Oryctolagus cuniculus: one gene and its partners. The protein of the gene in region 1 purifies or fractionates together with the protein of each later gene. This does not show direct contact. Links are inferred from orthologs where the notes say so. Each region holds a gene or a part of one and is shown in the gene's direction. Other genes may lie near its edges.

The links.
Region 2: the proteins of ANAPC16 (region 1) and ANAPC7 purify together in Homo sapiens (affinity purification with mass spectrometry; 6 studies listed by BioGRID and IntAct, with this or other methods). This does not show direct contact. The link is inferred for Oryctolagus cuniculus from reciprocal best matches to the Homo sapiens genes ANAPC16 and ANAPC7.
Region 3: the proteins of ANAPC16 (region 1) and ANAPC13 purify together in Homo sapiens (affinity purification with mass spectrometry; 3 studies listed by BioGRID and IntAct, counting the BioPlex papers as one, with this or other methods). This does not show direct contact. The link is inferred for Oryctolagus cuniculus from reciprocal best matches to the Homo sapiens genes ANAPC16 and ANAPC13.

What each region holds. Positions count from the first base shown.
Region 1 is NC_091446.1:63,342,653-63,346,538, forward strand, and holds part of ANAPC16 (anaphase-promoting complex subunit 16), read left to right. Parts: intron 1-1,144; 5' UTR 1,145-1,171; coding exon 1,172-1,313; intron 1,314-3,886. UniProt on the Homo sapiens protein: Component of the anaphase promoting complex/cyclosome (APC/C), a cell cycle-regulated E3 ubiquitin ligase that controls progression through mitosis and the G1 phase of the cell cycle.
Region 2 is NC_091452.1:8,069,343-8,073,228, reverse strand, and holds part of ANAPC7 (anaphase-promoting complex subunit 7), read left to right. Parts: intron 1-1,259; coding exon of another isoform or gene 1,260-1,299; intron 1,300-3,176; coding exon 3,177-3,288; intron 3,289-3,886. UniProt on the Homo sapiens protein: Component of the anaphase promoting complex/cyclosome (APC/C), a cell cycle-regulated E3 ubiquitin ligase that controls progression through mitosis and the G1 phase of the cell cycle.
Region 3 is NC_091435.1:146,958,851-146,962,836, forward strand, and holds the start of ANAPC13 (anaphase-promoting complex subunit 13), read left to right. Parts: upstream 1-1,327; 5' UTR 1,328-1,532; exon of another isoform or gene 1,533-1,573; intron 1,574-1,711; exon of another isoform or gene 1,712-2,596; intron 2,597-3,571; 5' UTR 3,572-3,619; coding exon 3,620-3,718; intron 3,719-3,986. Other genes in the region: CEP63 (centrosomal protein of 63 kDa), read right to left, coding at 1,038-1,168. UniProt on the Homo sapiens protein: Component of the anaphase promoting complex/cyclosome (APC/C), a cell cycle-regulated E3 ubiquitin ligase that controls progression through mitosis and the G1 phase of the cell cycle.

The sequences.
Region 1 (3,886 bases):
TTACAAATGGCAAAAACACTTAATGAAAAATATTCAGCTAAAATGTTCTCTGATCATTACAGAGGGCAATTCATTTTAAAAATCCTTTTAAACTTTTTTTTTATGTGGCTAAAATTTACATAACACAAAATTAACCATTTATCATCTTAAAGGGCATAATTCAGTATCAACTCATTTTGTAATTTAAATACAGTTGCAGTAGCCAATACAGAAACCACTAGCCACATGTAGCTATTGAAATTTTAATTAACATCCAATACAATTTTAAATACAGTTCTTCCATCATCCTAATTTATAGGCAGTACATGAGGCTGTGACTGCTGTATGAGGCAGTGTAGAAATAGAACATTAGAGCGTTTAACATCACAGCAGAACCTTCCCTGAGACCGCATGGTACTAGACCATTTTTCTACTAAGTATACCCTTCAGAATCTTTCGTTAGGGCCACACAAGCTTTATCCTAGTAAACAGAGTGTGCCTGTTTTGAACTTTTGTAAAAAGTCGTGTCTTCAGTATAGATTTTCTCATTTACATTTGAATTTTTGATATGACAGGGACTAAACACGAGCAGCTGCTGTATTCCTAGCAGGTCAGGATTTCCAGCATCCTTGTCTGAGCTGTTTTGTTCCAGTTTTGGGATGCCACCAAGTGATAAGTTTCGGTACTACATTTGGGTGGAAAGGTTAAAAAAATGTTTAATGAAAGGGCCAATACGTATTTCCTAACCAATTTTCCCTTCCTTGGGAACAGAACACAGTGTTATTCTGAAATTTTATGTGGAAAATTTTATAAGTGAATTTCTTGGTGTGGTTTGGTCAGAGTGTGTCCAAGACAAACTGTCCTATGGAGGATGGTGGTTTAATTTCCACAGTCAGATTTGTGCTTGGCCCTGCCATGGCTCCCCTTCATAACTCGTAAATCACCCACAGTCAGTCTCAAGTGACACACAGTTTGCTGGTCACAGGAAGTAGTCTTTTCAGTAGACAGACTTCTTAAACATACTTTGGCTTCAAAACGAAAAGATTGTGGGAGTTGAAAAGGTAGAAGACAGGGGAACCTGTTCTGTACAAAACTGTATGCTGGCCCTTGCGGTGGAATGAAATGTTGTTGATTGCGCTTCCATTGCTGTTTTTCTTGTCTGTAGTGAAGTGAGCCTTCGCCTGGAGAGGAAATGGCTGCCTCGTCGTCGTCCTCCTCGGCTGGTGGGGTCAGTGGGAGTTCTGTCACTGGATCTGGTTTCAGTGTGTCAGACCTCGCCCCACCACGGAAAGCCCTTTTCACCTACCCCAAAGGAGCTGGAGAGATGTTAGAAGGTGATCTCATGCTGCTTTTTGCTGAATAATTTGCCTTAGACCTGCAGTGAATATTAATTGTAAAGAAGCTTTTAAATGGATTTGAGATCAGTTTGTCCTGATTTCAGCTCTACGTTTCATCTCTTGTTCCCATCTCAAAATAGTATCTTTAAAAACAAATCTTGCTCCATAGTCACAATTTAGGAGCTGAAAAAAAGACTTTGGAAATCAAGGAGGTCATCCAGAGTTATTTAGATCCAGAAGAGTTAAGTTATTTGACCACGTTAAAGGAAGCCGGCACTAGAACCAGCAATTCTTTTAGCTTCCTTCTCCAGTTTGCCTTATCTTTGCACCCATCTACCTCTTCTTGGTGGGAGGTTCATGGTATTTTTTCCTACTATAATTAATCTACAGAAAGAGCATCCCATCAGAGAGGGTCTAAGAGAAAATAATAGCTATCACCCTGCTCTTTAACAAGGAGATGACCCTTCTGGCCCCCTGAAGGCCCCAGAGCCAGGTGTACATGCAGTCATCCACCATCCTGTTGAGCACACAGACTGGCTGGCCAAGATCCAGTATGGGCTGTAAGCATAAAGCCATGTTGGTAGCTGCAGTTCATCAGATTCATGTCAATATTAGGAGCTTGACTAATAGCATCAAAAATCACTTGAAGAGCTTTTTTTAAAATACACATTTATAGACAGGCTTTTGGCCTAGAGGTTAATGATACCTGCATCCCATAGCAGAGTACCTGGGTTCGAGGCTCAGCTTCACTCCCAGTTCCACCTTTCTGCTATGGTGTACTTTGAAGGTAGCACATGATAGCATAAGTATTTGGGTTGCCACCACTCGTGAAGGAGAGCTAGATTGAGTTCCCAGCTCTCAGCTTCAGCCCCTTTCCAGTACTGGCCATTGTGGTCATTTAGGGAGTGAACCAGTGAATGCAAGTGCTCTCACAAATCAAAAATAATAGTAACATATTTCTGGGCCTTGTGTATAGATTCTTAGCATAGCACAAGAATCCTCATTTTGACCAATGTCCAGGACCCTCTCATAAGGATAGTCTTCTCATTTTTTTTCTTTTTTTAAGTATTATTTATTTGGAAGGCAGCATTACAGAGAGAGAGAAAGACAGATCCAGATCTTACATCCACTGGTGGCAGTGATCTTACTGCCAAGGTGGCCACAACTGCCGGAACAGGGCCATGGTGAAGCCAGAAGCCTGGAGTTCCATCGAGGTCTGTCATTTGTGTGGCAGGGCCCAAGCACGTGGGCTGTCTTTCACTGCCTTCCCAGACACATTAGCATGGGGCTGGATCAGAAGTGGAGCAGCCAGGACTCCAATCAGTGCTCATATGGGATGCCAGCATCACAGGCAGCTGCTTCACCTCTTGTACCACAGTGCCAGCCCCTTATCATATTCTGAAAAACATTGACAAAGAACATCTGGACACCAGTTGGAATCCCGGCTGCTCCACTTCTGATCCAGCTCAGACTGGCACAGTCCCGGCTATTGCAGCCATTTGTGGAGTGAGCCAATGAATGCAAAATCTGTCTGTGTCCATCTCTCCCTCTCTCTAACATTGCCTTCCAAATAAATAAATCTTTTTTTTTACATTCTTTTTTTTATTTTATTTTATTTTATTTTTTTGACAGGCAGAGTGGACAGTGAGAGAGAGAGACAGAGAGAAAGGTCTTCCTTTTGCCGTTGGTTCACTCTCCAATGGCTGGCACGCTGCGGCCGGCGCACCGCGCTGATCCGATGGCAGGAGCCAGGTGCTTCTCCTGGTCTCCCATGGGGTATAGGGCCCAAGCACTTGGGCCATCCTCCACTGCACTCCCTGGCCACAGCAGAGAGCTGGCTTGCAAGAGGGGCAACCGGGACAGAATCCGGTGTCCCGACTGGGACTAGAATCCGGTGTGCCGGTGCCGCAAGGCGGAGGATTAGCCTAGTGAGCTGCGGCGCCGGCCAAATAAATAAATCTTTTTAAGAAAATCTACTTGATGCTAGTTTTGAAACTTATTTATATATTTACCTTTTTGCCTGAAATACTACAAATTTACATAAATATATAATTTATTTATTTATTTGAGAGGTAGAGTTAAAGACAGTGAGAGGGAGAGACAGAAAGGTCTTCCATCTGTTGGTTTACTCCCCATTTGGCCACAACGGCCATAGCTGCGCCAGTCTGAAGCTAGGAGCCAGATGCTTCTTCCTGGTCTCTTATGTGGGTGCAGGGGCCCAAGGACTTGGGCCACCTTCTGCTGCTTTCCCAGGCCACAGCAGAGAGCTGGACTGGAAGAGGAGCAGCCAGGACAGAATCCAGCGCCCCAACCGGGACTAGAACCCGATGTGCTGGCGCTGCAGGCAAAGGATTAGCCAAGTGAGCTGCGATGCGGGCTGCATCAGTAACTTAAAGCTACTTATACTTAAAGACAGACTATGGAAAATAATGCAGAGATTGCAACCTCTGAACTCTCCTAAGTCAAACCAAGAATATTAAATTGGGGAAAGGCATTTGGCCTAGCAGGTAAGACACTGGTCAGGATGCCTGTTTCCTAGACTGAGTGCTGGTTTGAGTCCTGGCCCCACC
Region 2 (3,886 bases), on another chromosome or scaffold:
ATCCCAGAGAGCCAGGAACTCAATCCCAGTTTCCTGTGGATGGCAGGAACCCAATTACTAGAGCCATTCTCCTAAGCAGGAAACAAGTAGACACCTGAACCTGGTGTCAAATATATTGGACATCTTTTTCTTTTTCTTTTTAAAGCTTTCTTTATTTGAAAGATAGAGTGACAGATCCTTCATCCTCTGGTTTACCCCCCAAATACCTGCAACATCTAGGTCTGGGTAGGATGAAGCCAGGAGTCAGGAACTCCATCTGTTTCCAGTGTGGGTGGGAGGATCTCAAATACTTGGGCCATCTGCTGCCTCCCAGGTTGGACAGAGTAGTTGGGACTCCAACCCAGGCACTCCAGTATGAGATGTGCGTGACCGAAGGGGTGGCATAACCCGCTGCACCACAGTGCCTGGCATAATATATTGGGCATCAGTTTTTTTTTTTTTTAATCCATTTTAGAAGAACAGTGAGAATCTACTCATAGGTTCAAATTCATATCAATATTTAATACTCTAACATATACTCATATCTCCTGCCCTTCTTATTTTATTGAAAAACTGTTCTGTGGCGCTTGTGCTTAGCAATAAGGAATTTTCCAGGTAAGATGTTTGTGTTCATCCTCCTGCCCTTACAAGGCAAGGAATCTAAGCAAGGGGGATCTGGGGCATTTTAGTTACTGCTGCTTTATTCAAGTGTTGCTGAATTTTAAAAATAGCAGAACTTCTTGAGAACTGTGTTTTTAGACTTCCTTGTATTAAGGAATTATTTACTATTTTCTAAGTTTTTAAAATTTAAGTTATTTCTTCCATCTAATTTATGAAGGTTACTGCTAATAAAAATACTTGGAACTGTATTTGGGTCCTGTATAGTAAATTGTGTTGTTGTAACGTCTAAAAGTCTTTTCTTACCCTCAGAATTTTTGTGTCTGTTCCTATGCTCAAGATGTCTTCCTTTTGGAAGAAGCCATTTTGATAATTTTGAATGAACTGTTGCTTGTCTCACTAGAAATGTGCCATGGTTTCCTCAGTGACTTGCCAGCTTTGGAAGGACATTTTTAGAAAGTGGGTTACTGGCAAAGCAGCTCAGCTTTGTGGTACCCAGTTCTTAATGTCTACAGCCATCACTTCAGGAGGGGCTCGAGGAGTCTGTGTGTTAGGAGGGCAGATTCTTCTCTCAGTTGAACTCTTGTAGTCAGGAGCAAACAAAGATGTGTGCCTCAAACATAAACCTAAAATATTTACAGTTTTTCTTTCTTGTCTGTTAGGGAGTTAACTGGCTTCTCAGTCTGTGTAAAGGACAAGGAAGTGAGTCAAAAATACGTCTAATTGAACATCTGTTAATGTATGGTAAACACCGCCACACATTCCCTCATAAGTTAAAGGAAAATTCCAGTGTTAAGATTATTGTATCTTGGTAAATTTTCAAGAGTAAACGTACAATGTCTCACTTAGTTTTTGGAAAATGATGACTGCTTGAGTTTATAGCTGGTGAAATGTGGCTTTATGATGGTCCCAGATAACAATTACCTTTTAAGAAAATTGATTTTTTCACTAAGTAGTACTCAGAACTCATTCTTTCAGTGATGGTCAAGTAGCTTAAAGGAAATTCTGATGTTCAAACATCCGGTCCATCTGTCATAGCTTTTTAATAACAAGTAGTCAAGAAACGATCTTAAATTCAACTTTTTTTTTTTTTTTAATATTGACACCGATACTGGAGTTTTCCTTTAAGTACCTTCCTTTGCATTTTCAAAATAGCCTAAAATGGAAAATCTGAGGCCAAGTGAAAATCTTCTGTTTCTAGTATTTCATTACTTTACTGTTTGAATTAGTGTGGATTAGTTCTGTACTGGATTGTTTAATCTAATGCAGGTCTCTGATGAGAAGAGATGTTCTTAATCCTCAGAGTGTTTACCCCTTGAGGAAATGTCTGGCATGCAGAACCACAGATAACTGAAGAGATTGCGGTTGACTTTTTTTTTCTTTTGTGCCCTCATGTTGACTGCTTCCTTCAGTTAATGATCTGCCAAACACTTTCTATATTTAAGATCTATTAATTTAAAATTGGAACATTGTCTTCTCTTTGCACTAGTGAGATCATTTATCCCTTCTCTGTAACTTCTACATTCTTTGGAACTTTGAGATTTCCTCAAATTCTTCCTGCTGTGGTTTTTACAGAGAATTAGCATTGATATAGTTTTACTAAATATGTATCTGTCTATTTTTGTAAGTATGTATTTATTTGAAAGGCAGAGTGACAGAGAAAAAGACTAAGAATGAGAGAGAAACAGACTGATCTTCCATCTGCTGGTTCACTCCTCAAGTGGCTGCCAGTCAGACCTGGGCCATGCCAAGGCCAGGAGCTAGGAGCTCCATCTGGTCTCCCACATGGGTGGAGACCCAAGCACTTGGACTGTGTGAGCTGCTAGCCTCACAAGTCGTAGTTGAACCTGCTGCACCACAATGCTGGCCCCAAAGTTATCTACTTAAATTGTGCCAAAAAACAGATGTCTGCACTCTGGATTTAAATCATATATCTAATCATGGATCGCCTCTGGAGGTCAGTTTGAATCTGGTTTTTATAGTGTTACTTTGGTGAGTCAGATAGTACCCACATGTCAGAGCTTTAAGTGTTAGGGTAGAGTCCAGCCATTGGTCTCATTGTCAGGGAGAAGCCAAGTATCACACCTCTCTATCTGTCATTTCCTCTGGGGAGAATGTGTCTGATTCTTCTTAACTAGCTATGTTAACAGGTCCTCATTTTCTTATCCCTTAATAGTAATTCAATTTAAAATGTACAGAATTTAGCAGTTTGGGGTAGTTCATCCTCTATCTTAAGATCAAAAAAGAATCATGGTAACTAGAATTCTAGGACATTCCTCAAATGAATGCAGTTCTTGTTTCCAGAGGCAGCATCTTTGGCCAGGGTAATACTGGGCCTCTTGGTTAGGTAAGTGAGAGGGTAATGAGACTTTCCTCTTAGAGATGGGAGTACCTAGGAAAAGAAAGTGTAGTAGTTTCTTCTTCATTTTGATGAATGGGCTTGTTCTTTGTTTATTTGTAGAAGGCTGTGGTAGGTTGTCCAGTAAAAAAAACAGTAGAGTATCTGGTAGTAAAAAACAGGACTTTTTCATGGCACTATGCATGTAACTTGCTGTCCTTTATTTTATTTTTTTATACAGATAAACATGATGCTGGCAAATTTGTACAAGAAGGCTGGTCAGGAGCGCCCTTCAGTCACCAGCTATAAGGAGGTGCTGCGGCAGTGCCCTTTAGCCCTGGATGCCATTCTAGGTATAGATCATTCTCTACCTGCGTTCATGGAGGGCCTGATGTGCAGGCTAGTAGTTCTCCATCTTGGCCATATCGTTACATAGCTTTATTTATTTTTTTAATTTTGATTTGTTTCTTAAAAGTTTACCTTATTTGAGAGAGAGCGAGCTGCCATCCACTGGTTCACTCCCTAAAATGCCTGGGAGCTGGAAACTCAATCCACACATCTCACGGGGGAGGCGGGGACCCAGCTACTTGAACCATCCGCTGCTGTCTCCCATGTTGTGCAGAGGCAGAAAGCGGAAATCAGAGTGGAGCCAGGACTCAAGTCCAGGATATGGACACCCAAGGCAGCTCTTTAACCCCTGTGCCAAGCACTTGCTCCTATAGCTTTAGTTTTTTAAAAGTCCTCTCCAGCTCTCCAGAGAGTGATTGAATAGGATTCTCGTTGTTGGATATTTACTCAAGAAATGTTAAATTATGGTCTTTCTATGGCCGGCGCCGTGGCTCACTAGGCTAATCCTCCACCTTGCGGCTCCGGCACACCGGGTTCTAGTCCTGGTCGGGGCGCCGGATTCTGTCCTGGTTGCCCCTCTTCCAGGCCAGCTCTCTGCTGTGG
Region 3 (3,986 bases), on another chromosome or scaffold:
GGCTAGGCGGAGGTGCAATTCCAGGGGACCCAAGCACACCTCGGGAGGCAAACAGGTCAGTGTAGAACAGCAGAAAGAGGCCAGAGAGCCGTTTGCAGGTAGGATTTAAAAGGTCTATCAGTCAAGCACACAGGGAGATCTCGGGGTGAGACCTGGGATCAACTACACACAGGGATGGGGCAGCTGAAGAAACCCGAGCCCCGCGGAGGCCCACAGTAGGGAATTCTGATCTCCACAGGTGTGAGAGTTCTGTGGCTTTGTGCAACTGCAGAAACCAACCTAGCTCTTGGGGGCGGAGGGGAGGGCTAACATAAACCAGAAATTCAATGCCTGCAACTTTGAGGTCCATGTTGCTTTTTGCAAGCCGACAGCGTGCGTGCGGAGCAGGAAGGTAGCCGTGAGAGTGGCCCACACAGAGGAGCGCGGGGACTAATCGACCTAAACAACCCTTAGAAGCGAGTTTATGAACTTGACTCGCACGGGCTGCAGAGGGCAGTGTCTAGGTGGTTACACATCTCTAGCCCATTCCAGTTTCAGGGCCTTGCTAACTAGCAAGGAGCTCAGCAGGAAAACCAAGGGCACCGCCTTCCGAGCAAGCGAACACAGACTCGATCACCAAGCTACATCCGTTAAAGATTCAGTATGCAGCCCGTGTCGCTCCTGGTTTCCTCTTCGTAAACTCAAACTACACGGGGAGCAAAACTGTGCAAACGCGGGGCGTCTGAAGCCGACATCGGGGGTCCGACCCTGGGCTCGGGGGAAGCTGCTTCGTGCAGCCCTAAACGAACAGGAGCTTCCGCCACTGTCCCAGGGCCGCCAGGGCACCGCAGATCCAGCCCCAGGAGCCTGGTCGTGTAGGGCGTTACTGAGCAACCGCTCCAAGCCATTTCCTTCTATGTGAATATGAACGTCGAGGGCGGCCTGCCTCCTCCAACCCCGCCGACGCCACCCTGCAGCCTCCCCGCGCAGGGAGCACTCCACGCAGCGGCGCCCGAGCCCGCGACCCCCCTCCGGCCGGCCTGCGGGCCACGGCTGACCTCCCCGCAGGGCCGCACGCCACCGCGGACTGGGCCACGGCCGCCTTCGCGGGGCCACAAGGCGTGGGCGGGCAGGCCGAGGGGCGCCCCTGGTGGCCGGCGGGCTGCTGCAGAAGCCAGTCCCGGGCCATGCGGCCGCGCGGCTGGGGGCACCAGGTTGGCCAGGGCCTCCGGACCAGGACACGCCCGCCCCTCGCAGGGGCCTAGGTCCCCACTGGCGGTTACCCAGCGGCCGCCGCGAGCGCGCCCGTGGCCTTCCCGTCGTTACCTCGGGACGGGCCCGCGCACGCGCGGCGCCGCCGATCTTACGTCCTCCCTCTGCCGCCGACACGTTCGTTCCGCCCACTGCCGCCTCACCCCCCCCCCAACCCGGACCGCCCCTCCGCGCGCATAAATGGGCTCACCCACATCCGGGGATCTGGGAGACGGGCGAACGGGTCACGTGGTGCCGGGGTGTGGCCGGGAGGAAGCGCTGCTGCTTTGGGCCGGGTGCTGGTAAGAGTTTCCTGCGTTCGTGGCGCGGGTCTTGGTGTGACGGGGTCGAGTGCAGCGGCCGCGGCCGATGCCTTCACCTCACCCTTGGAGTGTGGCGGGCTGGAAGGCCCTGACGTGGCGGCCCCAGACCTCCCCCTCCTGGTTTCCCCAGTTGGTAGCGCCCGCCTCGGGCCGGAAGCCGTGGTTGTGGGTTGGCCTTCCCGGTACGGTGGCCTGCGAGGGTCATTTGTAGCGCCACAGAAAAGCTGGGGTGGTGTTTTGTCTTTGATCGTGTAAATGCTTAGTCACAAAGCTTTGGGAGACAGAGATGGACAAGACGTGCCCCTGTCGCAGGGAAGGCACGCACTGTCTGTCTCCCTTGTTGGCGCCAGGCACGGCGCCCCCAGGACAAGTAGGGCTGGTTGGCACACTGGTCAGCGGTGGCCCTCTGGCCGGTGCGGAGAGTGGTGTGACGGGAATTTGTTGATCAGGGCCGGGGTTCCCGTGAGGCATGCAGAACGGAGCCTAGCCTTGCTGTAGAGGTGGTGATTTAATCCTGAGTCCTGGGTCTGGGGTCCGGGTCCGGGGCGGGGGGCAACCTAGCCCGGACACCATTCCCTGCATGCAGTGGGTTCACCTGAAGTCGCCAGACTGCAGGCCAGCGGGGAAGGCGAGGTCTGATGCAGAGGCGCTAGGGGCAGGATTTCAGAGCGGGAGAGTGGGACTGGGCGGGCGGTGTTTGCGGACAGGTGGAAGAGACCTGCTGGGGGATCCTGGTGCAGGATTTGCACCTGCAGCCAGACAGGCGTGCCCGAGCCGCGGGCCGCAGAGCTGAGCTCGCTTGTGTCTGGATGAGTCAGGACCGAGGTCTCCGGAAGCTTTTATAGGAGGGGGCTCTGCGAGGGCCTGGGAAAACCAGCAAAGGGGACAGACTGCACCGCATATAACTGCACCTGAGCCTCAGGAGCCCTGAAGACAGGCTCCTTCAACGAGTCGCCGCGTGGTCCTGGGCCAGCCTTGGGGCCCCACGCGGCTTGCTGGTAGCGGAAGGAGCGCCTTTGCCGCAGTTCTGCCCGTTCACCGAGGTTAGAAACCTCTCCGCACCCCGACGCGGGTAGAATTACGGTCCAGGGGTTAGGAGCCGTCTTGCTGTTAGGAGAGCAGAGGCCCGTGGATGGAGTGGGATCCCGCCGCCCGCCGAGGTTTTCTGTGTGCGCCTCCGCAGTGTCAGATGCCGGGAGGGCCTGAGGGCGCCTTTGGTCCAGTGGAGTGCGGGCCGTTGGGATTAACGTGGAGGAACGCTAGCGATGAGGGAACCTGCCAGCCAGGCCTCTGCATGAGGTTGCAGCTGCTCAGGGGACAATGAGGCTGGCAGGAGGCATCTGTGCACTGAGTGCAGCTGGGAGTGGGGAGATACCATGGTCCCTGAGAGGGGGGAGGGAGACACCATCGTCACTGAAGGGCGGGGGGGAGATACCGTGGTTACTGAGGGGGGTATACCATGGTCCCTGAGAGGGGGCAGGGAGACACCATCCTCACTGAAGAGCATGGGGAGAGGGGATGGGAGGGGAGATACCATGGTCCTTGAGAAGGGGGAGTGGGGAGATACCATGGTCGCTGAGGGGGGCGGGATGGAGATACCCTGGTCTCAGAGTGGGGGAGCAGCCTGGGATGCCCCAGTTGCTCACCTGGAGGTGCCCCTCTCGGAGCTCGGCCGGGCCACTGTTTTAGGAAGGAAGCAAGCTTTCCGACGCTCTCGCCGTCCCTGGCCTGAGGCCTTGCGGCAGGCCTGTCCTGGCCACGTCCTAAGGTGTGAGCTGAGCGCGTGCAGTGCGCTCCTGTGCTGAGGTTTGAATCGGGGCAGGTGCAGACGGATGGATGAGTCTGTCCAGAGGCGCTCACTGCACAGCGTTTGTCGGCTGACCGGGCGCAGGAACTCTGGTTTTTAAGTTGTCACTTGACCGCCTGGAAGAGGACCTCTTCCTGCCTTCACGGGAGGCTCGGGAATGCCTGGGCAGTGCTGGTGCTAAGTCCACATCTTTCCTGCCGTCCCGTTTCAGAAGGAACCCCTTGGCGTCCGGCTCCGCCGAGATCAAAGCCACGGGAACATGGACAGTGAGGTGCAGCGGGATGGAAGGATCTTGGATCTCATCGACGACGCTTGGCGGGAAGACAAGCTGCCTTACGAGGATGTGGCGATACCGCTGGTAGGTGGCGATGGGGCCCGGGACCGTGGCTGGAGGCAGGGTGTCCAGGGGCTGTACCAGGAGGGCAGAGAAGTCGGAGCCGCGGGGGCGTATGAGCGTCTCAGCCCCACAGAGCAGTGTGGTTCAGAAAGCGGAGGTAACCAGCACGGCCAGGGGTCTTGCCAGGGCTGCGGCGCCACCCTCCGGAGCCGTGTTCTGGCTGCCACAGCACAGCCGGAGGGAGACCGGACAATGAAGTGTGCCGGACAGACAGGAGCAGCCGCATGGA